Coturnix japonica: one gene and its partners. The protein of the gene in region 4 purifies or fractionates together with the protein of the main gene of each other region. This does not show direct contact. Links are inferred from orthologs where the notes say so. Each region holds a gene or a part of one and is shown on either strand. Other genes may lie near its edges.

Evidence for each region.
Region 1: the proteins of DIS3L (region 4) and EXOSC3 purify together in Homo sapiens (affinity purification with mass spectrometry; 6 studies listed by BioGRID and IntAct, counting the BioPlex papers as one, with this or other methods). This does not show direct contact. The link is inferred for Coturnix japonica from reciprocal best matches to the Homo sapiens genes DIS3L and EXOSC3.
Region 2: the proteins of DIS3L (region 4) and EXOSC9 purify together in Homo sapiens (affinity purification with mass spectrometry; 3 studies listed by BioGRID and IntAct, with this or other methods). This does not show direct contact. The link is inferred for Coturnix japonica from reciprocal best matches to the Homo sapiens genes DIS3L and EXOSC9.
Region 3: the proteins of DIS3L (region 4) and EXOSC1 purify together in Homo sapiens (affinity purification with mass spectrometry; 4 studies listed by BioGRID and IntAct, counting the BioPlex papers as one, with this or other methods). This does not show direct contact. The link is inferred for Coturnix japonica from reciprocal best matches to the Homo sapiens genes DIS3L and EXOSC1.
Region 5: the proteins of DIS3L (region 4) and EXOSC2 purify together in Homo sapiens (affinity purification with mass spectrometry; 5 studies listed by BioGRID and IntAct, with this or other methods). This does not show direct contact. The link is inferred for Coturnix japonica from reciprocal best matches to the Homo sapiens genes DIS3L and EXOSC2.
Region 6: the proteins of DIS3L (region 4) and EIF4E2 purify together in Homo sapiens (affinity purification with mass spectrometry; 3 studies listed by BioGRID and IntAct, with this or other methods). This does not show direct contact. The link is inferred for Coturnix japonica from reciprocal best matches to the Homo sapiens genes DIS3L and EIF4E2.
Region 7: the proteins of DIS3L (region 4) and EXOSC7 purify together in Homo sapiens (affinity purification with mass spectrometry; 3 studies listed by BioGRID and IntAct, counting the BioPlex papers as one, with this or other methods). This does not show direct contact. The link is inferred for Coturnix japonica from reciprocal best matches to the Homo sapiens genes DIS3L and EXOSC7.

Annotation. Positions count from the first base shown.
Region 1 is NC_029521.1:3,509,690-3,513,855, forward strand, and holds the start of EXOSC3 (exosome complex component RRP40), read right to left. Parts: upstream 2,801-4,166; 5' UTR 2,770-2,800; coding exon 2,494-2,769; intron 2,421-2,493; coding exon 2,271-2,420; intron 1,327-2,270; coding exon 1,175-1,326; intron 1-1,174. Other genes in the region: DYDC1 (DPY30 domain-containing protein 1), read left to right, coding at 3,119-3,265, 3,378-3,500, 4,042-4,113. UniProt on the Homo sapiens protein: Non-catalytic component of the RNA exosome complex which has 3'->5' exoribonuclease activity and participates in a multitude of cellular RNA processing and degradation events.
Region 2 is NC_029519.1:48,282,512-48,286,662, reverse strand, and holds the start of EXOSC9 (exosome complex component RRP45), read left to right. Parts: upstream 1-1,351; 5' UTR 1,352-1,421; coding exon 1,422-1,487; intron 1,488-1,628; coding exon 1,629-1,723; intron 1,724-1,937; coding exon 1,938-2,057; intron 2,058-2,281; coding exon 2,282-2,384; intron 2,385-2,761; coding exon 2,762-2,899; intron 2,900-3,071; coding exon 3,072-3,154; intron 3,155-3,389; coding exon 3,390-3,522; intron 3,523-3,619; coding exon 3,620-3,708; intron 3,709-3,891; coding exon 3,892-4,038; intron 4,039-4,151. UniProt on the Homo sapiens protein: Non-catalytic component of the RNA exosome complex which has 3'->5' exoribonuclease activity and participates in a multitude of cellular RNA processing and degradation events.
Region 3 is NC_029521.1:19,502,293-19,505,817, reverse strand, and holds EXOSC1 (exosome complex component CSL4), read right to left. Parts: upstream 2,128-3,525; coding exon 2,097-2,127; intron 2,024-2,096; coding exon 1,908-2,023; intron 1,778-1,907; coding exon 1,703-1,777; intron 1,550-1,702; coding exon 1,461-1,549; intron 1,307-1,460; coding exon 1,273-1,306; intron 1,138-1,272; coding exon 1,087-1,137; intron 989-1,086; coding exon 904-988; intron 735-903; coding exon 628-734; 3' UTR 501-627; downstream 1-500. Other genes in the region: palmitoyltransferase ZDHHC16, read left to right, coding at 2,126-2,394. UniProt on the Homo sapiens protein: Non-catalytic component of the RNA exosome complex which has 3'->5' exoribonuclease activity and participates in a multitude of cellular RNA processing and degradation events.
Region 4 is NC_029525.1:16,720,453-16,724,612, reverse strand, and holds the start of DIS3L (DIS3-like exonuclease 1), read right to left. Parts: upstream 2,801-4,160; 5' UTR 2,735-2,800; coding exon 2,605-2,734; intron 1,034-2,604; coding exon 880-1,033; intron 170-879; coding exon 41-169; intron 1-40. UniProt on the Homo sapiens protein: Catalytic component of the RNA exosome complex which has 3'->5' exoribonuclease activity and participates in a multitude of cellular RNA processing and degradation events.
Region 5 is NC_029532.1:4,558,014-4,562,297, reverse strand, and holds the start of EXOSC2 (exosome complex component RRP4), read right to left. Parts: upstream 2,801-4,284; 5' UTR 2,762-2,800; coding exon 2,637-2,761; intron 2,564-2,636; coding exon 2,462-2,563; intron 2,284-2,461; coding exon 2,238-2,283; intron 1,096-2,237; coding exon 1,006-1,095; intron 802-1,005; coding exon 736-801; intron 587-735; coding exon 518-586; intron 1-517. Other genes in the region: PRDM12 (PR domain zinc finger protein 12), read right to left, coding at 4,166-4,284. UniProt on the Homo sapiens protein: Non-catalytic component of the RNA exosome complex which has 3'->5' exoribonuclease activity and participates in a multitude of cellular RNA processing and degradation events.
Region 6 is NC_029524.1:13,648,256-13,651,755, forward strand, and holds part of EIF4E2 (eukaryotic translation initiation factor 4E type 2), read right to left. Parts: intron 2,513-3,500; coding exon 2,408-2,512; intron 1-2,407. UniProt on the Homo sapiens protein: Recognizes and binds the 7-methylguanosine-containing mRNA cap during an early step in the initiation. Acts as a repressor of translation initiation.
Region 7 is NC_029517.1:39,619,642-39,623,858, forward strand, and holds the start of EXOSC7 (exosome complex component RRP42), read right to left. Parts: upstream 2,801-4,217; 5' UTR 2,725-2,800; coding exon 2,668-2,724; intron 2,566-2,667; coding exon 2,464-2,565; intron 279-2,463; coding exon 184-278; intron 1-183. UniProt on the Homo sapiens protein: Non-catalytic component of the RNA exosome complex which has 3'->5' exoribonuclease activity and participates in a multitude of cellular RNA processing and degradation events.

The DNA of each region.
Region 1 (4,166 bases), on a different chromosome or scaffold from region 4:
AAGTATTACAACATTATCAGCCAGCAGCTAAACAGTAGCACTGGAGTTACAAAAGCAACTCCAAAAGTTAAGACGATTCAAATTGCATATCCAGCCATATCAGAATTGAAGTTCTCCTCCCAAAACACATGCACCTAAAGAGAGCACCTGTGCACTGTAGCTGTTTTCCTAATTAGGCAGAAGAGTTACCAAGAACAAGGCTGAAAAACAACTTAGCTGTTCACACTGATAAGACACATAAACCAAATTACTTACTAAACCCAGGTATGACATAGCTACTTGTTATCTCCAAGAACAGATGCTCACCTCTCCTCCCTCAACATCAAAGCAACAACTAGTCTGACCATCTCTTATCACTATCAGCTGGTATTTTATGATAGTCACACACTGTTTCTAGTTCAATGTACATGCATCCTTTCCCCAGTAAAACTGGCATAAATGCAGCACAACAGCCACATAGCAGTTACTGGCTAGTTCACACTACTTGAATTGGAGACAGCTGTGCATATCCTACCTAAAAACAAAATGTTACTCTTCCAGTTTCAGCTGCACACAATTGTCTCTCCTTCAGTGCCTGCTAAGATGCTGTTCTGGTTTTAGGAGAAAAACAATGATAATACACCTGTATTTCCAGCTGTTGCTGAACACTGCTGTACAGAGCCAAGCATACTTCATTTTTCCCCACTCTCTCTTACCATCCTACCAACTGGGGGATGGGGAACTAACAAGGATCTCGGAAGCACAGGGCAGGGCACCCAAGCAGCTGGGAAGGGATAGAAATAAGACAGCTGACTTTAAGTGGCCAAAGGGATATTCCATACCATATAACATTACGCAAAAGGAAAGTTTTGAATGGGACATGAGTCCTTTTTTCTCTCTCTCCTGCTGCTTGGGGCCTAGCTGGGCATCAGTCAGTGGGTAACTTCCTATATACATTCACATATATGTATTTCTCTTAAGTAGTATCTTGTTTTCTTTTCTCTTTGTAAACAGTTTTATCTCAACCCATGAATTCTACTTTGTGTCTGTTTTTTAATCGATTCTATTCCCAAGCCTATAGGGAAAAGCAGGACAGGGTCTGGAGGGAGAGGAGCTAATGACTGTGTGTTGTTTAGACACATGCTAAGTTTAACAACCCCAACACTTTAGTACAACTGGTTTTCTTAGTACTTACTTTCTTATCAGACCTAAGGAAACTTTAAAGAGGAAGCCGTCTTGTCCAATTACTCCCATTCCACTTGCTCTTCCACTGCTGTCTATACAGACCATCTCTGGTTCCATGTCTTTATTTGCTACAAGGAACTGACCATAAACAAGGTCTCCCACCTAAAGCAAGCAGTGCCAGAAAACAACAAAAAAAAAGAATCATTAGAGAAGATAACAATGCACATTTGTAAGAAACATTCAGTCCATAAAGAGACAACAAAACAGTTGTAAACTGGATGAACACTTGGACAAGAACCAGCAGCGTACACTTGCAGCTCAGAAGGCCAATGGGATCCCAGGCTGGATCCAAAGAAAGATAGCTAGAAGGGTGAATGAGGTAACTGACCCCTTTATTCTGCCATTGTGAGGCCCCACCTGGGGTACTCTGTCCAAGCCTGTGGCCCCTGACACAAGACCATTGGAATGGGTCAGAAGAGGGCCGGAGCGCCTCTTGTGTGAAGAAAAGTTGAGAGAGTTAGGCTTGTTGAGCCTGGAAAAGGCTCTGGATAGACCCCATCGAAGCCTTCCAGTGCTTATAGGGAGTGACTTTTTATATAGCCTAGTAGTGACAGGACAAGGGGGAATGGCTTTGAATTAACAGAGGGGAGATAAAGGTTACATGTTAGGAAACAATTCTTTACTCAGAAGGCGCACCAGAAGCCATACCAGTCTATTCCATTTAAAATCACAGCCCATTTTACACCATGCTGACAGTGTTTCTGGTGAACGCACATATCACAAAACAACTTGTAAATGCTACAAAGCAAACCCTCCTCTACCAGCACCAGCGTTCAGAGGATGCTTTAAAGCCTCAGGGTGGCCCCTTGGGACCCACGTTACTGCACGAGTAGCACCTGCCACTGTTAACCGATGGGAAAGGTGTAAGGTCAGAAGTGAAGAAGCACAAAAAGCTCCGGAGAAAACAGAAAAAACTCACGGCCTCATCGGGACACCCCGTACAGGCCATGACAAAAGCTCTGTGAAAAAAGTCACGTTCCTCGTTTATATGGTCCGAGTGGTAAAAACACCGTTTACAAAGGCAAGCTCCCGGCGGGCAGCGTTACCTGCACGTTGGGCCTGTTCCTCTTGGTCGCGCCCTCGAAGGCCAGGTATGACAGCGAGGCCTGCTCGCTACCACCGACGTCCAGCCGGAACACGTCCCCCACCTTGCCCGTCACGATGCCGATAACGTGGTCTCCCTTCACCGGCACGTACTACAAGCGGGTACAAGCGATCAGCGGGCTCGTCCCGCACATCACCGCCCCCCGCCGCCCGCTGCCGCCGTACCCGCTTCTGCTGCGAGTCCACCCAGTAGGCGCCGCCCGCCGCCGCTCCGCCGCCCGCCTGCCGGTGCCGCAGCAGCCCGCACTTGGTGACCAGCAGCCCGCCCGCACAGCGCCGCAGCCCCGGCCCGCACAGCAGCCTCCCCCGCGGGGCCGCGCTGGTGCCCAGCGGCAGCTTGTCGAGGTCGGGCTCTCCGTGCTCGGGCAGCAGCAGCACATCGCCGGGCAGCACCACTTGTCCCACACGGGTCTCCGCCGGCACGCCGCCCCCACCCGCCATCGCGTGCGGCCCTTCCGGCGGAAGCAGACGCAAAATGGCGGCGGCGATGGAAGGGCCGAGAGCGCAACGACAGCGACACCGCCCGGCCGCCTGACGCAGGATCCAGCCGGGAGCGCGGTTGCCCGGTAACGCGGTTGGACGCGCTGTGCGATCGGGCCGGTAGGAGCGAAGCGGTAGGGAACGGGGGACAGCACCGCTACCACCTTCTCATATTAATTGCCTGATGAAATGAGCTTTGATAAAACCACCAACATCACACTGGGGATGTGATGCAGTCAACACTTCCTCTAACTGCTGTCTGAATTCCGATATCGGTGACTAATATCTGTCGGTTTGTCAGTAGGTGAGAATGGAGTCTCAATACCTGAGGAGATGTCTGGGAAGCTGCTTGAAAAAGGGTCTGGCGGAGGTTGTGGAGCGTCGGCCCGCTGACCCAATAGAGTACCTGGCACACTGGATCTACAACTACAAGAAAACACTAGAAGAAGAAAAGAAGGTGGGTCTACCTCGGGCAAAGCATTTCATGTCAATCTAACTGATGCTGTATAATCTCTCTTTGTGTTTTGTTTCCTTTTTTTTTCATTGATTTCTTGTTACCTCTGAAATAGAGAACGTTGGAAAGGGCCAAACTGGAAAAAGAACGGCAGGCAGCCCTGGAAGAACTTGAAATGTTAAGAAAAATGAAGGAAGAAGAGCTACTGATACAACAGAAACTTGAAGAACAACGGCAGGTTAATAGTTGTTCATAATTATAGTAGCGTGTGATGCTGGGTCAACTTGTAGCTCTCACTACAATAGTAGTCATTATCAACATAGAATCATAAGAGAATCAGAATGTTGGAAAGTACCTACAATTGTATTCTGATCTTGAAAGGGAAAAGATAACAAAAAGTGCTTAAACATTGCGTTTTGAAAATATCATTATTTCGAAAGGAATTAGAAAGGACAGCTGAGCAGCTGGGGAGAAAAACTTACCTGCTACATGACAAGATGTTACCAAAAATGAAGAGACTAAGCTAAAGAGAAACTAACTAAAGATATGTTAGAAAATTAGATTAGGATAAGTAGACTGTCTTCTGCAGTTAACTATCTTAGCTATTTTTTCCTCCCATAGAATCTATATGGATTAGTCTGTCTATAATAGATGCTGTGCAAAGCTTCAAAGAGCCTAATCCAAAGTATAGGAGATATAAATATTAACTACTAAAGAGCACGAGGAACTGAGTATCAAAAGCATATACGCTATCTTCAGCTGTCTTCTCTTTACAATAGGAACAAGAACGTGAGAAGATGGAACAGCAGAATAAAGAAGAGAACATGCAGGAGCAGCAGAAAGATCCAGAGGTTTAAGCCAAAGCTTAGTCAAGATAAAGAAATATTGTTAATCATCTCTCTTA
Region 2 (4,151 bases), on a different chromosome or scaffold from region 4:
CTACTGAGCAACCCCTTACTGCAAAAATCCCACTGTCCATATAGTCTGCAAGAATAGTACAACTTATTAGCTAATGTGGATGACTTGTTGAGCAATGCATCCATTTCCAGATTTCAATTCTTTTTCACTGGTAGACAATATAATGTTTTTTGTAAGAGTATTAGAGAGATGGTAAGCATTATCTTCCCTTGCAAATGCAGCAGTTATAACAAAACAGTGCTAGTGAACGAGATCCAAGTAGAACTGATTAATTTATCCTTCCCAAGATAAGCAGCATGCTGAATCAATAACAGTGACAGCTAAGATACCCAAGGAAGCCCTGATACTTCCTGCTAAATATCTGAACTGCTGCATTAGTCATGCACAGAATGTCCATTTAAGCATGAAATTCAGCTCTCTCTCTTCTTGCACAGAAGCTACGAGAATTAAACTGCACTGAAAAATGCTTAAGCTTAATTGCTTGCCTGCTGTGGTCGACCTCAATGCAAACGCTGCAGGTCCAGTTTTCACACCTGGAGCACAAATACCAGTGATTCCAAATACAGTTGGCAGTAAGTCATTGTACTTTCCAACCCTCTCCTCCCCTCCCCCCAAAAAAGAGAAAAATAGAAAAAAGGAAAAGGGAGGTGGTGGGGAAAAATAAACAAACCAAAAAAACAAAGGGACAAGGGGGAATGGTTTTAAACTGAGACGGGAGGTTTAGGTTAGATATTAGGAGGAAGTTTTTCACACAGAGGGTGGTGACGCACTGGAACAGGTTGCCCAAGGAGGTTGTAGATGCCCCATCCCTGCAGGCATTCAAGGCCAGGCTGGATGTGGCTCTGGGCAGCCTGGTCTGCTGGTTGGTGACCCTGCACATAGCAGGGGGTTGAAATTCGATGATCACTGCGGTCCTTTTCAACCCAGGCCACTCTATGATTCAGTGAAAAGGTGGAAAGAAATAGCAAGATAAGTTGATTTAATGTGGGCTGGTTCAATAACAGTGAAGATTTCTCATTGAAGAGAAGTGTTTACTTCTACTGTCAGGCAAAATGACATTGAAAGGCTCTACAGAGGGATCTGGATAGGCTGAATCAGTGGGCTGAGACCAACTGTATGAGCTTCAACAAGACCAAGTCCTGAGTTTCAGGAAGGGAGGTCACGGTGAGGTGAAGTCGGCCTCTTCTGGGTCACAGTGACAGGACAAGAAGGAATGCCGTCAAGTTGCACCAAGGGAGGTGTAGGCTGGGTATTAGGGAAGAAGGAATTCCTCTCACAAAGAGCACTAGGCGCCTGCACCGAAGAATCGCGTCCGCCCACCGCCAGGGGGCCCCATTCAGCAGCTCCGCCGGCCGCGCTCTGTGGTGAGGCGGCTGGAGCGGCCGCCGCGTGTTGATGACGTCCCGCAGCCGAGCTCACGCCGTCCGTTTGTGGGGTCTGCCATGAAGGAGACGCCGCTGTCCAACTGCGAGCGGCGCTTCCTGCTGCGCGCCATCCAGGAGAGGAAGGTGCGGTGCCGGACCGGCCTCCCCGTACCCTGCCCCGTACCCTGCCCCGGGCCCTTGTCGCCTCAGCTGCGGGGCGGCGCGGCCCGGCGTGGTGCGCTGACCGCCCCGTGTGTGTGTGTGTGTGTGTGTCTGTCCCCGCAGCGGCTGGACGGGCGGCAGTGCTACGACTACCGCAATGTGCGCATCTCCTTCGGGCCCGAGCGCGGCTGCTGCGTGGTGGAGCTGGGCAAGACCAGGTAGGAGCGGCCGGGGGTCTCCGGGCTGGGACACACACAGCTCTATGCGCATTCACCGCCCTCAGGGTGAAGGAAAGGAAACTTGAGCTGAACAACGAGAAATGTGTTAGAAAACATCCACATGGGTCTTTGTTTTTTCTTTATATGTTTTGTTTCCATCGTTAGGTATTTTCTTGCTAAGCTTTCTGACCTAGCTGCTTATTTCCTTCTGCAGGGTCCTTGGGCAAGTCTCATGTGAACTCGTTCCCCCGAAGCCAAACCGGGCTACAGAAGGGATTCTGTTCTGTAACCTGGAGCTCTCACCCATGGCTGCACCTGGCTTTGAGCCTGGCAGGTACGTCGCTTTCTTAAGAAGTCCAGGCAAGGATAATGGTGCAAGTGGTAGAAGTGCCGCTCTGCTACACAGAGGCTCGAATCCCAGGGGTTGGACTTGATGATCTCTAAGGTCCCTTCCAACCCGCACGAGACTGATACTGTGATAATGTATGAACCACTGCTTGGACACGCACAAGTATGTACCATAATGATGTTGAATTTGGGTTGATTTTGTTTGAACAGGCAATCCGAGTTACTGGTCAAAGTGAACAGACTGATAGAACGATGCCTGAGGAATTCCAAGTGTATAGATACAGAATCCCTCTGCGTTGTTGCTGGTGAAAAGGTAGGAGAAAACTACCAGTCTCAAACCATTGCATAGAATCACTGAGCTTGGAGAAGACCTCCAAGATAATCCACTCCAACCATCCACATAGCACCAATATTTCCCCACTTAAGCCACGTCCCTTAGTTATACATCTAAATATTTCTCGAATTCAATCACATATAAACATGTTTAATGATTTTAAACATAAAAGTCACTTTTTCAGGTGCTCTGTCTTGTTTTGAATACTGGTCTTTTTTCATCCTAACTCTTAAATCAAATACTCGAGGAATGTAAGCTGCTCTTTTTTGTGATTCAAAAACTGGAAGTGTCTTGGAAAAGCAGGAGCTTCTGTGGAATTATGTTACACATTGCCAGTTATACATGTTTTCCCTCAGGTCTGGCAAATCCGTGTGGATCTGCACCTGTTAAATCACGATGGTAACATTATAGATGCTGCCAGCATAGCAGGAATCGTGGCCCTATGCCATTTTCGCAGACCAGATGTTTCTGTGCAAGGAAAAGAAATAACGGTGGTAAGTCATACCAGGTTTACCTCCATAAGTCGTAAATGGGAAGTATTATACAAGGAGAACCAAAAGAGATTTTTTATTAATATTTAGTTGACTAGACTTTTTTTCTTTGCTTTCTGTTTCTTTACATTGCTCTTGCACAATGTAAGTAACCAATAACCAATTCTTTTCTCAGTACTCTCCTGAGGAACGTGATCCTGTGCCCCTGAGCATCCACCACATGCCTATTTGTGTCAGTTTTGCCTTCTTCCAGCAGGGGTAAGAATTCTTCTTAAAGCTCTTGACAGAAACAGCTTATTGTCAGTTGTGCAAAATTATTGTTACAGCACTGTGAAAATACTCTTGTTGACAGACAGCTTTCTTAACACGTTCATACGTGTTCTCCACAGTGTGATAGTAGCCAGCAGCTTGCACAGATAGGAAGAAAACTGTTACAAGGGAGTCAAAGTCAACCTCAAACTTCTGTTGTCTTATGTTAAAAACTTGGTTCTAGGACGTATTTGTTGGTGGATCCAAATGAACGAGAGGAACGTGTGATGGATGGTCTCCTTGTAATTGCCATGAATAAACATCAGGAAATTTGTACCATCCAGTCTAGTGGAGGGATTATGCTATTAAAGGATCAGGTAAAAGTCAAGGAAAACATTTAAGGATCTGTTCTGTGGTTCTATTTTAAGTCATGTTTTCATGATTCTAAACTGTTACCGTGTATGTAACGTACAGGTTCTGAGATGCAGTAAAATAACAGCTGTGAAGGTTGCGGAAATAACAGAATTAATTCAGAAAGCTTTGGAGAACGACCAGAAAGTGAGGTGAGTTTTTGGGGAAGGAATGGAAAGTACTTTGAAGAACTGATTGAAAAGTTAATGCCAGTTTATAATGAAACAGCAGGTTGTTTCTGTTTGTAATCATTTCAAGTATTACAAGTATGGAAATGCTTGCTATATTCATATATGTGAAATATCCTGAAATAACGTCTGTTGTTGGATGACTAGGAAAGAAGGTGGGAAGTTCGGCTTTGCAGAATCGATATCAAATCAGAAGATCACTGCCTTCAAAATGGACAGTGCTGCTGTAGATACCAACAATGTGGAAGAACAAGCAGAAGAAATCATAACTAAAGCTGACCCTCCTTCAGAAGTGTATGTTTTCTATTCGTTATTCCAGGGGGGAGTTTTCCTCTTATCTGCACTGGCCCTTCTAGAAGCTAGTAAGACACTCAAGCTATCAGATGGCTCCGGGTGGCCCTATAGCC
Region 3 (3,525 bases), on a different chromosome or scaffold from region 4:
AGTTGTCTTGTTCCAGTTCAATAAAAGATGAATATGCAATAATTAAATGTCAGCGTTTCCTTGTGCCACTGCGCCACGTGGAGCTCCCACTTTGCCTAGCACCGCATTTCCTGCACCACCACGTGTCTGTGATGCGCAAGTTGCTGCTGACTTGTGGGTGCAGAAGGTGCTCAGACTGCACAGCAAAGCACAGTTCTGCAATCCTCGCTGCAAAGAGTGATTCACTGCAGTGCTTTATGGGCTCTGGGCTGTGCCACACCTCTGCCTAACAAAGGGCATGTATGGCCTGAGGTGATAAGCCATCCTGGGGATGAGCACAGCAGCCATAGATGGTGCTATGTACCACTAAGCCTCAAAGCCTCGCTGCTCCCCAGGACAGGAACAGACTTTCTCACTCCCACACTGATGGGAGAAACAGCCCCCTCCAGCAGCTCCAGAGCAGAAGGGCTACAGGCAGCCAGAGCAACCCCTGCGGGCAGTGACTGAGCAGAACACAGAGCTCTCAAAAAAACCACGTTTATTTATTACTTACAGCACAAATACAAAACCCATCCTGCTGTATGGAAGATGCTGGACCCCACCATAGCAGCTCTCTTTCCTGGGGTCCCTGTACCCCTGAGGAGGCTGCTATGTCTGCAGGAACTGAGGCTGCACACGGGCCACCTTACGGAAGTCCTTGGTGTGCGTCTGTGGGCACTGCATCTCACACCAGCTGATAGGCACCATCTGCACCCCTGCAGGCATCCTCAGTTAGCAGATCCCTTCCTGCTTTGTCACACTGCCCAGCCCCAGCAGCCCAAAGCCTCCTCGTGCAGCCCCTGAGGCTCAGCAGTGGGAGGAAAGGAGGGTGTTTGCTCCCCATGCTGCACTGGCTGTTCCTCACATGGAGATGAGGATTCCTACCTGCGTCGCTGCGTGCCACCACCACACCCAGCTCGTTCTCTGCCGTGCTCAGCAGGTAGTTGGACTGTGCATCCCCCAGCGAGATCTGGTTAGGTTTGTGTTAAGGGAAAGACTCCCTGCCTCTATAGCCCAGCACAAACCCTCCAGGCCCGTGGGCCCTCCCACTGCGATGGGAAAGGATACGACTTTGGCCAGGACTATGTCACCGGGGCGGAAACTCTTGTAGACTTCTACCTACGTGGGAGGGAGTGGACAGGAGTGCATGGAGAGCGCAGGTACTGCTCGATAGGCACCCCATGGGCAGCAGCACGAGGGGAGCTGGACAGGGGGAAGCTGTAACAGCACTGTACCCAGCAGTGCCCCGCTGACCTTATCCTTTTCAGTAGCTCGAATGTCTTCCCTCCTAGAAAAGCAGACACAGGAATGTGATACCAGAGAGAGCCAGGAGGAGCTGCCCCGGCCTCCCTGGACGGCAGCCAGGCCTCGCTAGATGCATCCACGCAGCTGTCCTCGCAGCAGGCAGGCACCGCGCAGTGTGCCCCCTGCCCTTTCCCTACCGTATGGTGCCACGGAAGGTGGATTTCAGCGGCGTGGAGCCAACGTACAGGATGTTCACTTTGGCAAACCGGGAGTTGATGCTGCACACCTGCACCAACGGGCGGCGGGCACTCAGCGCCCGCGCAGCGTGGGCCGGGCCGGGCCGGGCGGCTCCTTGAGTGTCCGCCGCCGTCCGTCCGGAGCTCCGTGAGCCGAGCACACGGCCCCGGCCGCGGGGACACGTGGGGACAGCGGCACCCACCTTACACGTCACCACGGAGCCCACGTCGGGCAGCAGCTGCGCCTCTGCATCCCGCACCACCGACACCACGGGCAGCTGCGGGGCACAGACAGATGGATAGACACACAGACACACACACAGACACACACACACACACATAGACACACACACACACCCGGTCTCAGCCCGGTCCCGCCCCGTTTCCCGTTCCCCGCCGTGCTCTCACCGCCCCGTCCCGCTCGCAGCGCCGCACGCATCCGCTCAGCGCAGCGAAGATGTTGCCGTTCCGCACGTAGGTGCCGCTCCCCGCCGCGTTTCCGTCCGCTCCGCACAGCCGTTCTCCTGCGGGTCGCTCGCTCAGCACCGGTCCCGCACTTACCGGCCCGTCCCCCCCCGCCGCCCGCCCCGCACTTACCGGGCACGCAGTACCGAGCTGGTGGCGCCATGTTCAGCGTCGCGCGTGAGCCCGCAAAGAACCCTCCTCCTATTGGCTCTCAGCGACGGGGCCGCGATGTAAGCGGCATACCTATTGGTTCTCTTTTAACCTCAGGGAGCGGCGGTGTCGCGCGGCCCGCTGGGAGTCGTAGTGCGGCGCCTCGTGCCGGCCCTGCCCGCTGTGCTCAGTGCGCAGGCGCGGGGCGGCGGGCGCTGCCCGGTGCCGTGAGGGCGGCGGGAACCGGGCATGGCGGCGGGCGGCGGGGAGCGGGCGGCAGGTGCGAGCGGGAACGGGAACGGGAACGGGATGGGTGCGGCGGGGCGGGGAGCGGGGCACGGAGCGGGGCGGGCCCGCGGCCTTGGGGCGGCGTGACCGGCTGGCACGGCCGAGGGCAGCCCTGAGCCCAGCACGGGGTCACCGGGAGCGGGAGCTCATCACCCGCCGTGCGGCCGTGCCGGTACCGCTGTGTCCCGGTCCCGCCGTGTGCCGGTTGTGCCGGTTGTGCCGGTCCCGCCGTGTGCCGGCCGCTCGCTCTGTGTTCCCGGGCCGTGTGTTGGCGCTGGGCCGTGCCGCTGCCTGGCGCGGTGCCGAGCGGAGCGCTCGGTTCGTGCCTTGGCCGCATCCCGGGCCGGCCGTGCCGTTAATATTGATGGCCCGGGGGCCCTGACCCGGCGGATCGTTTGCCTCATTTCGGGCCCGGCTCGGGTTCCTCCTCGCTCCCATCGCGGCCCTCGGGTGGGATAAGAGGCTCAGCGGGAGGACGAGGGCTCGGTGCGTCCCTCTGCTGTCCGAGTGCCCGCAGCTCGGCCTGGCACAGCGCAGCGTGGCACTGTCCGGGGAGCTGCTGGGGTCGGTGTGCGATGGGCTCTGCAGCTTGGTCCGGGGCTGAGGCAAAAGGAAGAGCCGTCCAGGTGCTGCTGGGTGTGAGGAACAGGGCACGTGTTTTGTGCGGGCTCCCTCACTCCCGAATCCATTAGCAAAGGCTGCTGAGGGGATCCCCGTGGGTTTGGAGCGTTCCCTGCCCTGGAATGAGCTCTTCGCCCCATGTGCCCTCACCGTCTCCAGTTTCCTCTGAGTCAGACTCTCCGTGTCGCTCCCCAACCCCCTCCCCTGTGGGAAAGACGAGATGGGAGCAGGGAGCACCCGAGGTCAGGCGCGGAGCCTGACAGCCCCGTGTCCCCCCTCCGCACACAGAGCTCGGGAGCGCAGCATCCCTTTGGGCTCAGCGCCACCCGCTTCTGCTCCGCATCCTGCGCAGGGTGAAGGAGCCCTGCCCCGCCGTGCAGCCTGACACCTGGCCTGCCCACACCCAGCATCTGCCCACATCCAGCATCTGCCCACATCCAGCATCTGCCCACACCCAGCATCTGCCCACACCCAGCATCTGCCCACACCCAGCATCTGCCCA
Region 4 (4,160 bases):
TTATGTTACCCAGTGCAGTGCTGTATATGTTAAAGCAAACCTGGTCTGCCATTTCTCCATGGATTCTCCCTTCTCTCTTGGCTGGTAAGAATTCTGGTGGAACTCATTGGCAAACACTGTACAGTCATGACGAGTGTCCTTTATTAGATTTCGCAACTTGTTGTACTGTCTGGAAAACAAAAAAGGTAAATATCAACTTGTGCTTTCTTTTGATAACGCCTGTTTGTTTTCATCTGGTAATACAGCTGAAAAACTCAAGGAGCACTATGGCCCCACACAAAGAAATGCATTTATTAAATTCCACCATTGATGAGGAAATGTAAAAAATCATCTCTAAGCAAGTTTTTTTAGTTGCATTACAAATATTCTGTAACACATTTGTTTTCTGATAAACCCCCCCTCAAACATTATAAGCATGTAGGAAATTGTATTATTGTTTCAGAGGGAAGATGCTTTGGCAATATATAGGTCTGCTCAGGTAAGTGCTGTGTAATAGCACTGACTGACCCTCAAAGATGAGCTCTCCGTCTGCAGTACAGCAGGAACAAAAAGGTGCACAAAATCTAGTTGTGGCATAAACCACATTGTTACTGCAAAGTGTCCTTTGTTGCTGTCACAAGCCATCCAATTCATTAGTGATGTTACATGTTCAATGATGCCATTATCAAGCAGATACTATTACATGCACTGATGCCTATGGATCACCAAGGATCACATTTCTTTACCTCCTGTAGAATTAATGCTTTTGAAAAACCTAGAAATAACTTAAGCATGGGATTTTTCTAATTCAGGGTAACTGCTGAAATAAATATTGTACAAAGTCAGTAAGTTACTTCAATCTGTAGTAAAACAATAAACAAGTTGTTATAGGATCATTACCTGCGACCTTTTTGGTGTTGCACAGCTTGACATGCTGTTTGCATGAATATAATACCTTTCAGCTCTGGAAACTCAAGGATCTCAAGGTAGTCCTGAACAACCTTCCAGTCTGGGACAACATAGTGAGTCACATCGTCCGATAACAACTTGCCATCTAAAATATAAGGTAGAGATTAAAGATTGAAACTTTTAGATGCGATACTGCTTCCTCAAATAACTTGAAGTGCCAGGAATTTAGAGCAAAGAAATCTAACATCACTGTGAAAGGGATGCCATGTAAGTGCATGTAACATTCCTTTTTCTTCCCCTCAACTTCCACATGGAAAGACCACAAAATCTTTTCACGGAGCCATTCAATAGGTGTAGTGCTTCCCCAAATCTCTCTATCCAACACTATCCATTTAGAGCAGGCTCTTCTCCTACATCTTTACATAAAAGGAAACAGGTAAAAGATGACGTTCTCAAAGAGGAAAGGTCCAAATCTAGACTATTTTCTCCAGAGAAACTCCATCCCTTGTGGGTACACCATCAAATTATCACAACCAACCCAGCACTGATTAAACCTTAAAACATCACCTCAAATTGTAGCAATTGCTAAAGATTTGATGGGTAGCCATTAACTCTGCTGCATCTGCTGATTTACCCATTATGATATAATAAAACCGGTACTTCTGTAGTTACCATAGGGCAGGGCAGTTGTATACAATTAGAGCAGAATAACTTGCAGGTCGGCACAGTGTGTTATCAGAGTATCTCTAGGTGTGATTTATGCAGAGGAGGAAAGTTTGCTGAGTACAGCATGCAGTCAGGAGTGAAAACTAATGTTCACCTTACCTCTGAGTTACCTGGAATAACTACAAAGGGTGTATTCTGGCACACATCGACAGCACTATTTACATTCAAGCCCAGAAGAGAAGTTGGTGATGGGCAGAGGGCTGAGATCTTGGTACGTGTCTGTAACTTACAGCCAAAAGCTGTGCACGTCTCTGTGCACAAGGGAGCAGTGATGAACTCAGCCTGACATCCAGCTGGCAGTAAGATGCTGTGCTGCCTTCTGCCCTCCCATGCAATGGGCACAGAGAACTGAAGTGACAACACTGACATCAGCTGCAGCTCAGGAGGAAGAACTGAAATTCTGTGCTTTTTAAGCTGATCCACAATGTACTTAACAGCACCTGAGTACACAACAGCTGTCACAGAAAGCAAAGCCCCGTGTGTGCAATGGGAGCAGAACAGGAGCAGAGCGCTCCGTTATGGGACAGGAACTGCTGACAGAGCGCAGCTGATGCACAATTACAGCCGCTTCACGATGTCGCATGGGCCCGGTTGGAACAGCCACACACCGGATTTCTTTCACACTATAATCACCACCAAGGAGAAATAAACACTTTTAGACAACCTTTGAGGGAAATAAGGCGTGAAATGCGCGTTTCCCGCCGCACTTTGGCCTTTCAGAACCACCCCTGGGCTGTTTACAACTAAATCCTTTATCAGCCATCACCTCCCTTCGGTTCCTCTTTCATTTTTTCCCTCAATACTTCGTACGGTGGTGTCTTGAATTTAACACCTCCGCTCCTCGGTGCCGCCCACCCCCCCGCTGTGCTCCCACCGGTTCCTTTCAGCCCTCCCGACCCTCCAGGCTCCGCTGGGCCGAAGGGTCGCACCCTCCTTTGGCCCAACACGGATCACACCGCCCAGCTCCCGGCCTTTCCCTTCCCGTCTCACCGCGCTCACAGCCGGCCCGGCACAGCGCGCTGCGGCACAGCACGTCGTTCCGGAGGTAATGCTCCCTCACCACCCGCACCGAGCGGCCCTGCTGGCTCCGCAGCTGCAGCACTTTCTCCGTGCGGAGCATTGCGGCGATAAGCGGAGCAGAGCACCGCCAGGCCGGACTGCGAGCGGCGCGAGGGGCGGTGCAACCGAACGGGGCAGGGCCTGAAGCGAGGGGCGGTGCAACCGAACGGGGCAGGGCCTGAAGCGAGGGGCGGGCACGAGCCGTGCAAGGGGAGTGCGGGATGTTCTGGGGATGGGCGCGAGCTGGTGTGAAAGCACGAGATGAGAGCGGCACTGAGGGACGGGCACGAGCTGGGGGAAGGCGGGAGCGGGATGAGAGCGGCTCTGAGGGAAGGACGGGAGTGAGGGAGCGAGGATGGAGCAGCTCTGAGACGTAGGAGAGAGATAAGGGGAAGGTGGGAAGGAGCTGAGGAGAAGTTGGCGAGCTGAAAGAAGCAGGGATGAAACCGAGGGCGAGTTCTTGAGGGGCTGGTGCCGAGTGGGAGCTGAGGAGAAGGAGAGCCCCGGTTTGTGCTGCTCAGAGCTGACGGGTTCCCTTTGGAGTGGTGAAAGCGGTTAGGAAGTGGAGAAAATGCTGGAGAAGTGTCTGCAGTGCCCGTGGAAGGTGAGAAAGAAGGGGCTGCTCTGTGGGGTGAGGTGGAGAGCTGGTCGTAAGAAGATAGATTCGGGGTCTATCGCTTGTTTTCAGGCAGTTACCAAGGGCAGGAGTGTGCTTGTTTTGTATGGGAGGCACTGGGAGGCTGAACGAGGCCCAGAAGCAGCACTTATTTATCGACATCAAACAGAAAAGCAGGGGAAGGTTGTGGCACCCAACGTGGTGTTTGTGGGCCCTGGCCGGTGTGCTGTAAATAAGACTGTAATGCTGCTCGTATGACACTGGGGGATGATTTTTACAATTAAAAAGTCATTAATACTTTCTTAAGGATGCCTACATCATAATCGCACTTGAACCTAATACGTGGTGCAAACTCTCCAGTAGTTGCCCTTACGAGAAAAAAAGGCTGGGACAAAGCCAAGGCAGCGTGTCACTGTGTGTTCCTGTTTATTCTACTTGCTTCTATTTCCCATATTCTGTAAAATGTGTGTCTGCAGTGACTAATATTTCTGAGTAACCAATTGGTGCCAGTAAATGTAAGTACCATCTGTAAGGAGCTGGTTTGTGGAAGCCAAGTTCTCAGCATATGAGGAGGAGGAGGTGTTAAAACTTGGTGAGAGACGACTTAAGTGTGGTCTTGGTTGATAGTCTAGATGATTTTAGATGTATTGTGTAAGTGAGAGGAAAGGAGAAATGGAGACCGAAGTGATGGAGCTCTTGTTCAGTAGGAACAAATATAGAATAACCATTGGCGACAGGATGAGAAAGAACATTTGGGGGAAAATATCTAGAATTCAGTTTGAAATGCAGCGGCTGCTCCCTGCTGTGACACAGTGAAGAGCACAGATCAGTGTGCCTACATTGTGTCACTCTGTGCCTGCGATAAAAGGAA
Region 5 (4,284 bases), on a different chromosome or scaffold from region 4:
GGCTTATTTCAATGTGCAAAAACAGAGATAAATGCCAACTGCATAAAGCCTAAAATAGAGCCCTGGAGTGAGCAGCAAGCCATGGGGACAATGACCTGCAGAAGAAGAGCGATAAAGTTTGAGATAGAAGATTTTTCTTCCCAGAGCTCAAGTCCCAAGCAACTGGTGGGAGAAATGGATTCATGCAGTAACTGTGGAGAGGGACAGCAGCAGTTCAGAGGGAATGTGTGCAATGAGGAACTCTGCTTTGAGCTCCCATGTAGGAGCTAAAATTCTTCCTAACCTACTGACAAGGGCTATAATATCATACTCTACTGCAGAGCCTTTTATTCCTTAAGGATCTCCCCCCAAACCTCTATCCTGATGCTATCTCGATATAAATACAAAGAAATTCTACTGACATGGATAGAACTGCACTGTATTTAACAAGATCTGACCCTCTAACAGACCACTAAGCACAAGGGTTAGAGACTCATACAATCCAACCAGCACAAAATGAGACTTTTGAACAACATACCTTCCCATATTTCAGACTCCTGGTGTGCAGTGATACAGCCCCATCTGAAAACACAGACTGGACCTCTGCCTGTCAGTGCCTCTTAAGGAAACAGACTTCTTCATGCTGCCCTGTACCAACAGCCACCAACAGAGCTTTCCCTGCCTGCCTGAGGTCTGGCTGTTCCCCCTTCCAATCCCTTTGACTCTTCTGTCCAAGTACAAGCAGTGAAAGGATACACTGATGAGATCCCCTTCCTGCAGATAGTCCCTCATTGCAAGCTCATCTTCTGCTGATCTCCTCCTCTAAAATGGACAATGCAAGAAAAGTTATGGGTCACGTAGAATGAGAAAACATTAATTAACAGCAACACAAAGAGAGGATCATCTCCTTAGGACACTGTGCAAAATGCATGGGAAGTCAAAACCACACGTGTGCTAACTGCAGGAGGGGCTCAGAGCATCCTGCCCTGCAGCACTGTGGTCCTTCTCTGCACAAACTGTGCTCACCAGTTCCCCACCAGGTAAATTCATAGACGACAACAACAGGACTGAATCCAGCCTGGAATTGGTTTCCACTTTCCATCGTTTCTGTTGAACCTGGTGAAGAAAAAACAACGTTAATGTACACTCAGAAAATGAACTAAGTCTCTAATCTAAGTGGGAAGTCATGCAGATGACTGACTCTATAGCAAAGCACTGTGACAGCCATAAGAAATGACCGGCCAGTGCAGCAGAGGCTGTCAGAGAAGGAATCATTTCAGTTGGAAAAGAGCATTAAAAGCCACCTGGTACAACTCCCAGTAATGAACAGGGACACCTGCAGGTCCCTCAGGTGCACAGAGCCCCGTCCAGCTCTGATCCTGAATGTCTGTGGGGGTGAGGCAACCACAACCACCCTGAGTAACTTGTGCCAGCGCCTCATTGCCCTTATTGTAAAAGACATCCTCCTTATATTGAATGTAAATCTCTCCTGTTGAGACTGAAACCATTTCCCCTTGTCCTATCACAACAGACCCTGCTAAGAAGTCAGTCCCCTTCTTCCTTACAGAAAGATACTTTAGATAATGACAGGCTGCTCTCAGCTCTCTCCAGCGCCATCTCCTCTCCATGCTGCACAGCCCCAGCTCTCAGCCTGTCCCCGCAGGGAGCTGTTCCATCCCTCGGATCACTTTTACGGTCATCCTGTGGATGTGCTCCAACAGATCCATGTCCATCCTGCACCGAGGATGCCCCACCAGGACACAGTGCTACAGATGGGGCCTCACACGAGGACATGCCCACCTCCCTGTCCCACAGCTTGCACTGCATGCATCCAACCCTATGGGTCCCAGCCATCCCTATGGGGCTGAGTGCTCCCCTATGGGTCCCAGCCATCCCTATGGGGCTGAGTGCTCCCCTATGGGTCCCAGCCATCCCTATGGGCGCCAGCCATCCCTATGTGGCTGAGTACTCCCCTATGTGTCCCATCCATCCCTATGTGTCCCATCCATCCCCTATAGATCCCATCCATCCCTATAGATCCCATCCATCCCTATGTGTCCCCCCCTTTAGTGTGGGGTCCCTGTTCCCCCTATGGGCGCACTGGACGGCAGCTCATTACAATGGATCCGGATGGGCACTACGGTTGCCACCAACGCCCTCCTGCAGCTCTGCATGGCACAGTGCTCTCTGTGCTCCAGCATCTCACTCTTTCTTTGTCAGACCTCATCACGTTCTCCCGTGTCCTCCCAGCTCCTCACCTCCGTGATCCTCCCGACCACGATGTCTCCGACCTCCCCGTTGTACCTGGCGGTGGGACAGAGCACAGCATTAACACAGCATTAACACAGCATTATTACACACCATTATTACACAGCATTATTACACAGCATTAACACACATTACACAGCATTATTACACAGCATTAACACACATTACACACCATTATTACCCATCCCATTGCACATCCCGTCCCTATATTCACCTGCTCTGTAGCGGTGTCACACACACCAATTTATTCACCCTCTCCACAGCTCCAGCCACCGAGGCGACGAGCTTCTCCTCATCCACATAGGTGCCGTGTCCCCTGCAGACAGAACGGACGCCATTAGAGCCCAAACCGCGGCCTGCCCCGTCCCCTAATGCTCCTCCATCCCCACCTCATGTATCCCGTGTCCGTAGTGATGGTGTCTCCGGGTACAACCAGGTGTTTCTCGCCGCCCCGAGGCCGGCTGGGCCCCACGGCTTTACGGATCACGGGCAGCCGCATGGACACCGCCGCCATCTTGGTTGAAGGCGGAACTGCGCCTTGCGGTTACACGTGACTTCCGGACGCCATCTTGAATGAGGGCCGTAACGAGAGTCACGTGGGTTGGGTACAGGGCGGCCATTTTGGTTCCTGGCAGGGAGGTTGGGGGGGGGCAGCGATGTGAATGGGGCAGGGGGTGCTCCCCTATGGGTCTCATCCATCCCTATGGGGCTGAGTGCTCCCCTATGGGTCCCAGCCATCCCTATGGGGCTGAGTGCTCCCCTATGGGTCCCATCCATCCCTATGGGGCTGAGTGCCCCCCTATGGGTCCCAGCCTTCCCTATGGCGCTGAGTGCCCCCCTATGGGTCCCATACATCCCTATGGGTCCCATCCATCCCTATGGGTCCCATCCATCCCTATGGGGCTGAGTGCTCCCTATGGGTCCCAGCACCCATTAATGGGGTTGGACCCACAGCCCCCCCCTCCCCCCAATTTAAACCACGCTCGGTCCCGAATCGCTTTTTATTTCGAGTACAAGAGAGAGGTACAAATGTATTTACAGCGCTGTGCGTATACAATCCCATAATATAGAATATCAAAGGCTTGTAAATAATGTTTTACATAAATATTTACAAAGTTAAAGTGACGGGTTATTATATATTTTCCTTCTTGGGTTTTTCTTTTTTTCCCTTTTCTGGCAGTAAAACGCAGTGTTTTTATTTTTATGAGAGCTTTTATACACCTCGGATTTAGGATGAACACAACAACCTTCCAAGTTAATGGGAACAGCCGCTCCGGGCTGTGCGGTCCCCAGAGGGCAGCAGAGCTGAGCGCTCCCTTAGGGCTGGATGGGGCTGAGCAGCTGCTGGGCCGTCATTGCATGGTCCAAGTTGGAAGGGACCCCCCTCAAACCCCTCCTAAAGGCCGCCTGGTCCAACTCCCTACACACACAGTGCTCAGAGCCCCGGGCAGCCTGACCTCGGGGGTCTCACAGCCCATCTCAGCCTCCCATCCCTTGGTGGCATGTAGACAAACCCCATGGCACAGCTGGGGATAGAGGGAGGAAAACCCAACTCGGCTGAACAGACAAAGCTGATGGTCCCAGTGATGCTGTGCCACGTCTCCTTGCTGGGCGCTCGCTGGCACAGAGGAGAAAGGACAAAAGCAATTTTCCTTCCTATCAAATGATCCATAAAACCCAACCTTGATTCATCCAGGTGCAGCCGCAGCTCCGAACACACCAGCAAAATCCACACGGGATGTCCTGCCGTGCCCTCCCATTCTCCCTTTCCCACCAAACCCTATGGAAACGCTGATGCTCCCAATGCAAACTCAGAGCAGCGGCTCTGCCACGGGCTCCCAGTTCCTCACACATCTCAATGCCAGTCTTTGCACGTGGGCAGCGACCATCCAGAAACGTGCTGCTGCCGTTCCATGGCTCACAGCACCATGGTGGGGATGTGATGGGCCAAGGAAGCGGGATGGGGCACGGGTAGGGCAGGCGAATGAGCCTGCAGGGATGCATTGGGGGGTCGATGACGGGCGCTTTTCTGATGCG
Region 6 (3,500 bases), on a different chromosome or scaffold from region 4:
AAGAGGAAAAATCCCTTATCACAGAACATGGAAGGCATGGAAACAGTTTGCAAAATCATGTTCAAAAGTAAAGGGAAAGTTGAAATGTTTTTCTTCAGCATTTCCAGGAACGAGCTCACATAACAAGTTAACCCAGAAGGGCCAGCCTGTTCTCTGGAAGCCACTGTCATTATCACAGATACAGACGAACTGTGCTGACCCAAGGAAATACACAAAAATTGGAAGAAAGGAAAGGAAAAATTTACGCTAAGCACCCAACCTGTCACCTCAAAGTTGCAATCCTGTATGTTGAACTGAAAACTGCTACAGACTGCCCTGCTTCACAAACACACAACCACATCAAACAGCAGTTCTTCCTTTGTGCAGAATTCTCACTGTGGCATTCCCTTGTAGCTGGAAACTCCTACAAAAGGGAATGGATTCCATCCAAAGACAACAACTGAGAAGTAAGAACAAGTCTAAGGGGAGGTGGCAGTTAGGAAGGGAATGAACAGAGGTCTAGGACAAAAACAGAGAAGGAAAAAGAGCTCGTAGTGATCTGTATTACACAGAACATCCCTGGCCAAACAATTAGCAATCCCCTTTGCCAACCTAAGTTACACTTCAAAGATGCAAGGCAAGGCAGCCCAATCCTTCTTAACAGGACAAAATAAACTTTATTTTAACTATAAAGCTTCTTTAGGGCTTAGAAAAACTAAGTACTTGTGCACTCTCAGAGACAGCAAATGCCAACGAAACAATACTGAGCAAAAAGGAAAATGCCAGCAGAGGAGCAGCAGTCACCAGATCCCATCTACATGTTAAGAGTCCATAGTGAAAGGGGAAGGTGTGAGCTCTGGACAAACCTCCAACGCATGAGAGCAGCCACATGCAAGGTGAAGAATCTAAATCAGCAGAAGTTCTAGGAATGCCGCATATTCCCATGAAATGCAAAAATGCTTTTTGATTAAGCATCCTTGTTTTCCAAGTTGTGGACATCCCACTCTGAGAATTAAGAATTCAGCCTAAGTTGGGTTTCACTCCTCGAACATTCCACACTGACTTACAGAGGTAAGAAAATAAATTGGTATAGCTCAAAACAACTTAAACATTGTTCAGGAAGGTTCAAGGCTAGAAAGAGAATGGTCATTGGGAAGCAGATGCTGTATTGTGTGTTTTATGGTTACTGTTAGTTTTCTTTCAGGTTAAACAAGCTTTGGTTCAGTCAAGCATTTCATTTCCATTTACCAGAATAATAATGATCTGCAGCCCAGAAAATCACAAGGGAACATTATGCTTACTGCTACTGACTTTACCCAGAAAAGGCACAGATGGATTCTGAAAAAGATCAGAACCACATATATGTATACATGCTTACAAAAATTACAGTAATTAAGCTTACTTTCAAAGAGGAAGGAACATAAAGCCCTAAAAAGGGTAGCAAAGAGAAGGGAAGCTACAAGGGTAAGTCTTCTACAAATACAAGAAGGCAACGTGACCAGAAATAAAAGACAAAGAGCCTCTCCATCTTCATCCTAAAATGGCTACAGGGAAATTCTTTATAGAAATTCTGCTATCATTAACTTGTGGACTCTCTGGTGGACACATTATCAGAGCAGCTAAGCTGACTAGGAGTCCAAGGAGGGTTAAGCGTTTTATATAAATTGTATTTGCAGTAACTGGCTATAAAACACCTTGCTTAAAATAATTGCCAACCAGGGTCACATATAAATTTCTCAGGACCAAGCAGCATAATTAGGTACTGCAGAGCAACACATAAAATTCTCATATTGCAAATGGTATTGGTCATTGCTGGAAGCCAGCCAGGAGCTGGAAGAATGATTTGTTGGGCAAAGATTTTTTTTTCCCTTCTTTATACAGATTTGGACAGAAATGAACACGTGCAAATCAAGTGCCTTGTAAAGGAAAAAAAGTGAATGAAGAGCTAAGTCTTCTTTCCATTTTCTGTTCTGCATAGAGCTGTAGGCTTTTAAGCACATGCATCTCCTTGCTTCTTATTCTCTTATTTCTTCCCTTATTGAGAGGTTCTGTTTCTTTTAGAGGAAAGCTCCATGCTGCTGCCATAGGACAAAGCACTAATAATGGGTAAAAGTGCTGTGCTGTGTAGTGAGCACAGAGCTTAGCATGGCTACCCTTTACTGAGCTGCATGCAACACCAGCCAGAAGACTCTTCTGGACCCACAGCAAGCACAGCTAGCAACTCCCTTCATCTGCCCTCTCCTCAGCCAGAAGACCACAGAGCCACCAGGTTACACGGAACAGAGTTTTGAGAACAAGTTTACAGCAAGCTCAGAAGAAAAGGCTGAACTCAAGAGTGCCATTAAGTGACAAGACTCTCTTCACCACAGAAGGTTTCATCCATCATTCTCTGGGGAGCATCAAGGCAGACACGAGAGCTCCAACTCACCTCCCACATGGGTTTGATGCCCTCTTTGAAAAGATGGAAGTCACTATGGCCTGTCAGGTCCCCAGGACGTACCATGTGACTGTAAAACCGCCAGAACTGCTCCACCTGCAATGACATGAACCACACAGTGAGGATGCTCAAACTGCTCAGAGCCACAGCTCTGACTAAAACAGGCTTCCCTTTCTACAACAGCTAGCTAGACACATCTTCCCCTCTTTATTTTCTTGTCACAAGGGAGTTTATTAGGACACCCAAAAAGCAGCAATAGAATCAGAGATTGGGTGCCTATGTTTCACTGGTTCTATCAGCAGGCGACCACCTGAAATATTCAACAAGTGCCTGCAAAAATTACTTGGTGTTTGTTCCAAACAGTCTGTGCTAAGATAGTTACTGCTCTAGAGAACAGTTGCTAGATTCTAATGCTCAAACTTTAGTGGATGTGACATATCAAGTGCAACAGCTAAAGTCAAGCCACCCTGCACTACACAAGAACTCATTCCTGCATGAACTACTGTTCTCAGCACCAACAGAGACCGAAAAACCCTCCAAATCTGACATATTTAGGATTGATTTTTACTGTGTCCGGGTTTTAAGACAGAGACATTCTGATGCTATTTTTAAATCTTTAGGCACTACTCAGAACTTCTGTTTAAATCCCACTTATTTCCCTTTACAGCCTTCTATGACATTCTGACCACCACAGAAATACCATTTTTCACCATGCCAACCTCCCCCCAACCGTGTCCACTTCAGACAGCCTGGCCAGAATTTTTAATTCTTAAAATAAAATACCTATTCTTTTAGATTCTTTGGGTGAAAAGGGATTTTAGAGAGGCTGAACCTTCAAAAGAAGGCACTGGAACAGATTATACTAATTTCCACTTTCTAAGAGGACTCTACTCAGTAGGACCATAGCTATTAAGCAGATCAGCAGTGAAGCTGGAGGGGTTGGACACCATTCCAAGTACTTTATCAGAGACCTCGATGACTTGGTCAGCACTTGGAATTCTGCTTCAAACTCTGATCTCTGCCATCCAAACAGAAACTTGCTTTTATAGTCAATATAATTACGAATCAAGGCTGAGATGGGGTC
Region 7 (4,217 bases), on a different chromosome or scaffold from region 4:
TGATGTTTCTGAACATTCAGCACAGCTAAGACAGTAAAATAAACTGCTGCTGTTACTCAGACACTAAGCAGGTTAGGGCAGTGAAGGTTCACATTTCAGATCTGATTAGGTTTTTTATTTCAAATGTGAGAAGCAAAGTGTATATGCATACTGCTCCATTACCTTTTCTTCTACTATACTAACCAGTCAACAAAGAATTCCAGATAACCTTCATCTGGTTTCTCTAACTTCGGTGTCCCCATTTCAGCTTTTACACCAACCAAGATATCAGTGTGTCCCTGTTAAAACAAAAATACATCACACAGTTAGAACTATGGGCAAAATACACTCAGTTGAGATGCCTACAGCATGCAGACACTACCATCTATTCTGTTGTCTTTGCTAATTGCTCTACTAGAGAATTGCAGAACAGAAAGGCTTTAGGAGAACAATTCTGTGCCCACATATCAGCTTTCTTTGTGTATATAAGACAATCTTAATAGCCATACCTTTTTATCATTGCAGTTCTGGATCAGTTATTTCTGCAGAATGTTTATAATACCGCCAAAAAATAATTGTTTTCTTTACAGTCAACACATGCCAGAAGTAGTTTTGCTTCACTGTAAAGGAGCAGAATTATTTTTTCCAGTGACAGGCACAACAGCATCTAACACCCAATAGCAGATTAGTTCAGACTGAAGGCCTTTCAGGCACTCCACTATAAATTTAGCTCAAATGCATTAAGCTAACTTGAATTATTCATATATCTTGTCATTATTTCCTCAACCTATCATGTCAATTAGAGCTAAGCACATACATACATGCATAGGTCGCTCTGAAAGTAACGTCTTCTATTTATTTCCACAGAAAATATAAGAGGTGCAAAGAGCAAAATAACATTATTTGATTGAACAGATTCTCAGCAACAAAACCTTATTAACATAGTCACCATCACTCTGCATTTTCACCACTGATGAACAAGAGACTGCATGCTGCACTCATAAAAATCTGCACCAGCAGAGGTAACCCACTGTTTCATAGCTATGACTGCACCACTGCTAGGAAAGCATTGCCTGAGCAGTCTATTTTCCATCAAGCCCAAAGAGGTGGAAGACAGAAGGCACCAAATCCACACTACACAGTGGGTGCTGTAGGACAGTCCAGACAAATTTGGCAACGTGCTCCAGGGTCCTGAAACTGGTATGGGACTTGGTGTTATCGCATTGCAAGAGAAAAGGTGTCTTCTTCTCTGCCTGACTCTGGAAGCTCAAGCCTTCAGCTTAGTCAGTGTCATGATGTAGCAGTCAGAGCTGATGGTTTGTCTGGGTTTCAGGAAATCCAAAAGGATCACTTCTTTCCTATCCCAAGAGACAGTTCACAATACTTTGCCTGCTGAAGGCTATCTCTTGAACTTTTTCTTCAATAGGGAATCACATGTCACCACTCCATGGACTGCGTTTTCTCACCGGTGCGTAGTGGTGACACCACATCTCATCATCACTACTGATGTGATCCTGGAAACTGTTGCCTTCAGCCTTGTATTGGTTCAAGAGATCCTGACAAACTTATAACTTTGAATCCCCCCTGTCGTGCAAGTGGTAGAAGTGCCGCTCTGCTACACAGGAGGCTCGAATCCCAGGGGTTGGACTCGATGATCTCTAAGGTCCCTTCCAACCCACACCAGACTGTGATACTGTGTGATATACAGTATTCTTTCTGCTCCTCTGTGAACACTTATGGGAGCCACCTGGCATGCATTTTCTGATATTCCAACATTGTCACCATCATTTCTAATGCAATGAAGCTGATATTCAGCTCTGTACACAGTTCCCTGGTCATAATCTGCTGATTTGCACAAATGAGCTGATCAAGACAGTTCATTTCATCGTATGACAGCCGTGCATGGTCATCTAGAACATGCCTTGTATTTCACAAGGTGAAATGCACCACCACACAGAATCACAGAATTACCTGGGTTGAAAGGGACCTCAAGGATCATGTAGTTCCAACCCCCCTGCCTAGCAGGGCCACCAAACATACGCCTTCACTAGATCAGGTTGCCCAGGGCCCCGCTTCACTGTGCTCACGTTCGCTGTTGGGTCTCCATCAGCATTCAGCATGCGACAATGAATGCCAACAGGGACAATCGTTTCAACACGACATAATTCAATACCACATCTTTGCATTTCCAAGTCAGACACCATTCTGTCAGACTGCACATCTGCTGTCATCAGTCACAGGGCAACACAATAGAATGAAATATTGTTGGGAAGGTTCAACCTCTACTACCACACCACCAACATCTGCTTATGATACTGTGGGCCAACATCATAAAATAGGAGGGGCTGTTTTTGGAGCAACATATTAGACACATATGAGGAGACACACATGGACGTATTTACAAGCAGCAATTATTTATCATAAGCCAAGCGAAACAAGCCAGTTTTATCAGCAATGTAGACGACTCCTGAGCCGTTCACCTACCAGCTTCACTCTCGCAGATCCACTCGTGTTGGACACCACATCTGTCTCTACTTCTGCACACCTGTAATCTTCACAGCCACGGCCATCCACACGGAGGTCCTCCTAAACACGACAACCAACGTAATCGCGAACATAAGGAACCTGTGCTTTTCAAGCTTCCCGTGCCGAATACATCACCAAAGATGACAAGCAACTATTCCCTACCTGGACGCCGTGTATGATGTACATCTTCTCCGCGTCGCTCAGCACTACGGACGCCATGACACCCCGCGCGCTGCAGAGCACTTCCGCTTCCGCTTCTCGGAAGGAGGCGAGCTCTGCGCCTGCGCACCGCCGCACTTCCGCAGGCGGGAAATGGCGCCGGTCGCCTCAGCGCCTTGTACAGGGCGGTGGGGTCGGCCCTGTGTGTGTGTGTGCCCTTAGCTGAGGTAAAAGTAACCTGAGGGTTGTGTGCCCCGGTGGCGCAGTGGTAGGAACGCCGCCTTGCAACACTGGGGCCCGGAGTTCGAATCCCCCCTGTGGCACAAGTGGTACAAGTGCCGCTCTGCTACAGAGAGGCTCGAATCCCGGGGGTTGGACTCGATGATCTCTAAGGTCCCTTCCAACCCACACGAGACTATGAGACTATGAGGGTACCCGAGTATGAAGCTGAGGTTCTCCTGGCTGTCAGACCGCGGAGAAATGCGGAGTTTTACCCGAGACATCGTGCTGGTGGTGTGGGAATGCGATTAAAGGCTCCAGTTTGACACTGCGTTGTAATTGAGGGGTGTTTATTGTGGCAGCTTCCATTAGCTCACGTTGTAGGTGCCATACGCTCAGCACGGCTCTCCTGTATGTTGGTTGGTGCGCTGAGTGGTGCCCACTAAGGGCACAGTGAGGTTTGGGATGTTAGGGGGAAGTTCTTCACCAGGAGAGTGGTTAGGCCCTGGAACAGGCTGCCCAGGGAGGTTGTGGATGCCCCGTCCTTGGAGGTGTTCAAGACCAGGTTGGATGGGGCCCTGGGCAACCTGATCTAGTAAATGTGTATGTTTGGTGGCCCTGCCAGGCAGGGGGGTTGGAACTACATGATCCTTGAGGTTCCTTCCAACCCGGGTCATTCTGTGAGGTTATGGCGCTGGTGCTGCCTGGCTCCCAGCTGCACCCACAGCGCTCAGACACAAGGAGGGGCAGCTTTCCTTCCTTCATTCCTTCCTCCATGTCTGCCATCCATCCCAGACTGGAAGCGCAGCCAGCAGCTCCTCGCTGCTCACAGGATGCGGTGTCGTTTATAACAAGGACAAAGCGATGCCTTCTGCCTCATTTTAGCCAGCTGGAAGTGGAAAAAGACCGTGATGGAGCCGCCCGGCACGCAGGGGCTCACGCTGCCCGGTGAAGCTGCAAGCAGCGCAGGCAGCGGCCGCTAAATCCGCAGGTGCCGGCTGCTGCTGCCCGGCTTTGCGGTGCCGAGGCCCGGGGCGGGGCCGCCGGCCGCCAGCCGCCACTTCCTGGTTCCTCCGTTGCCGCCCCACCTCCTCGCCGGGATCGCGTAAGGGGACGGCGCTTGGGGAGGGGGGGGGAACCGCGCTCCGCCGGGCCCAGTGCCGCGCGCGGGGCGCCCGCTCCGGCGGGGCGGATGGGAGGTGGCGGCGGGCGGCGGCCTGCGGGTAGGTGGCGGGGCAGAGCCACGGGACCGCGGGGCTACGGGTGGGGTGGGGTGAGGTAAAGGGGGATGCGGCCGGGAGCGCCTTCCAGAGCGGGCCGTGACATGGGCTGCG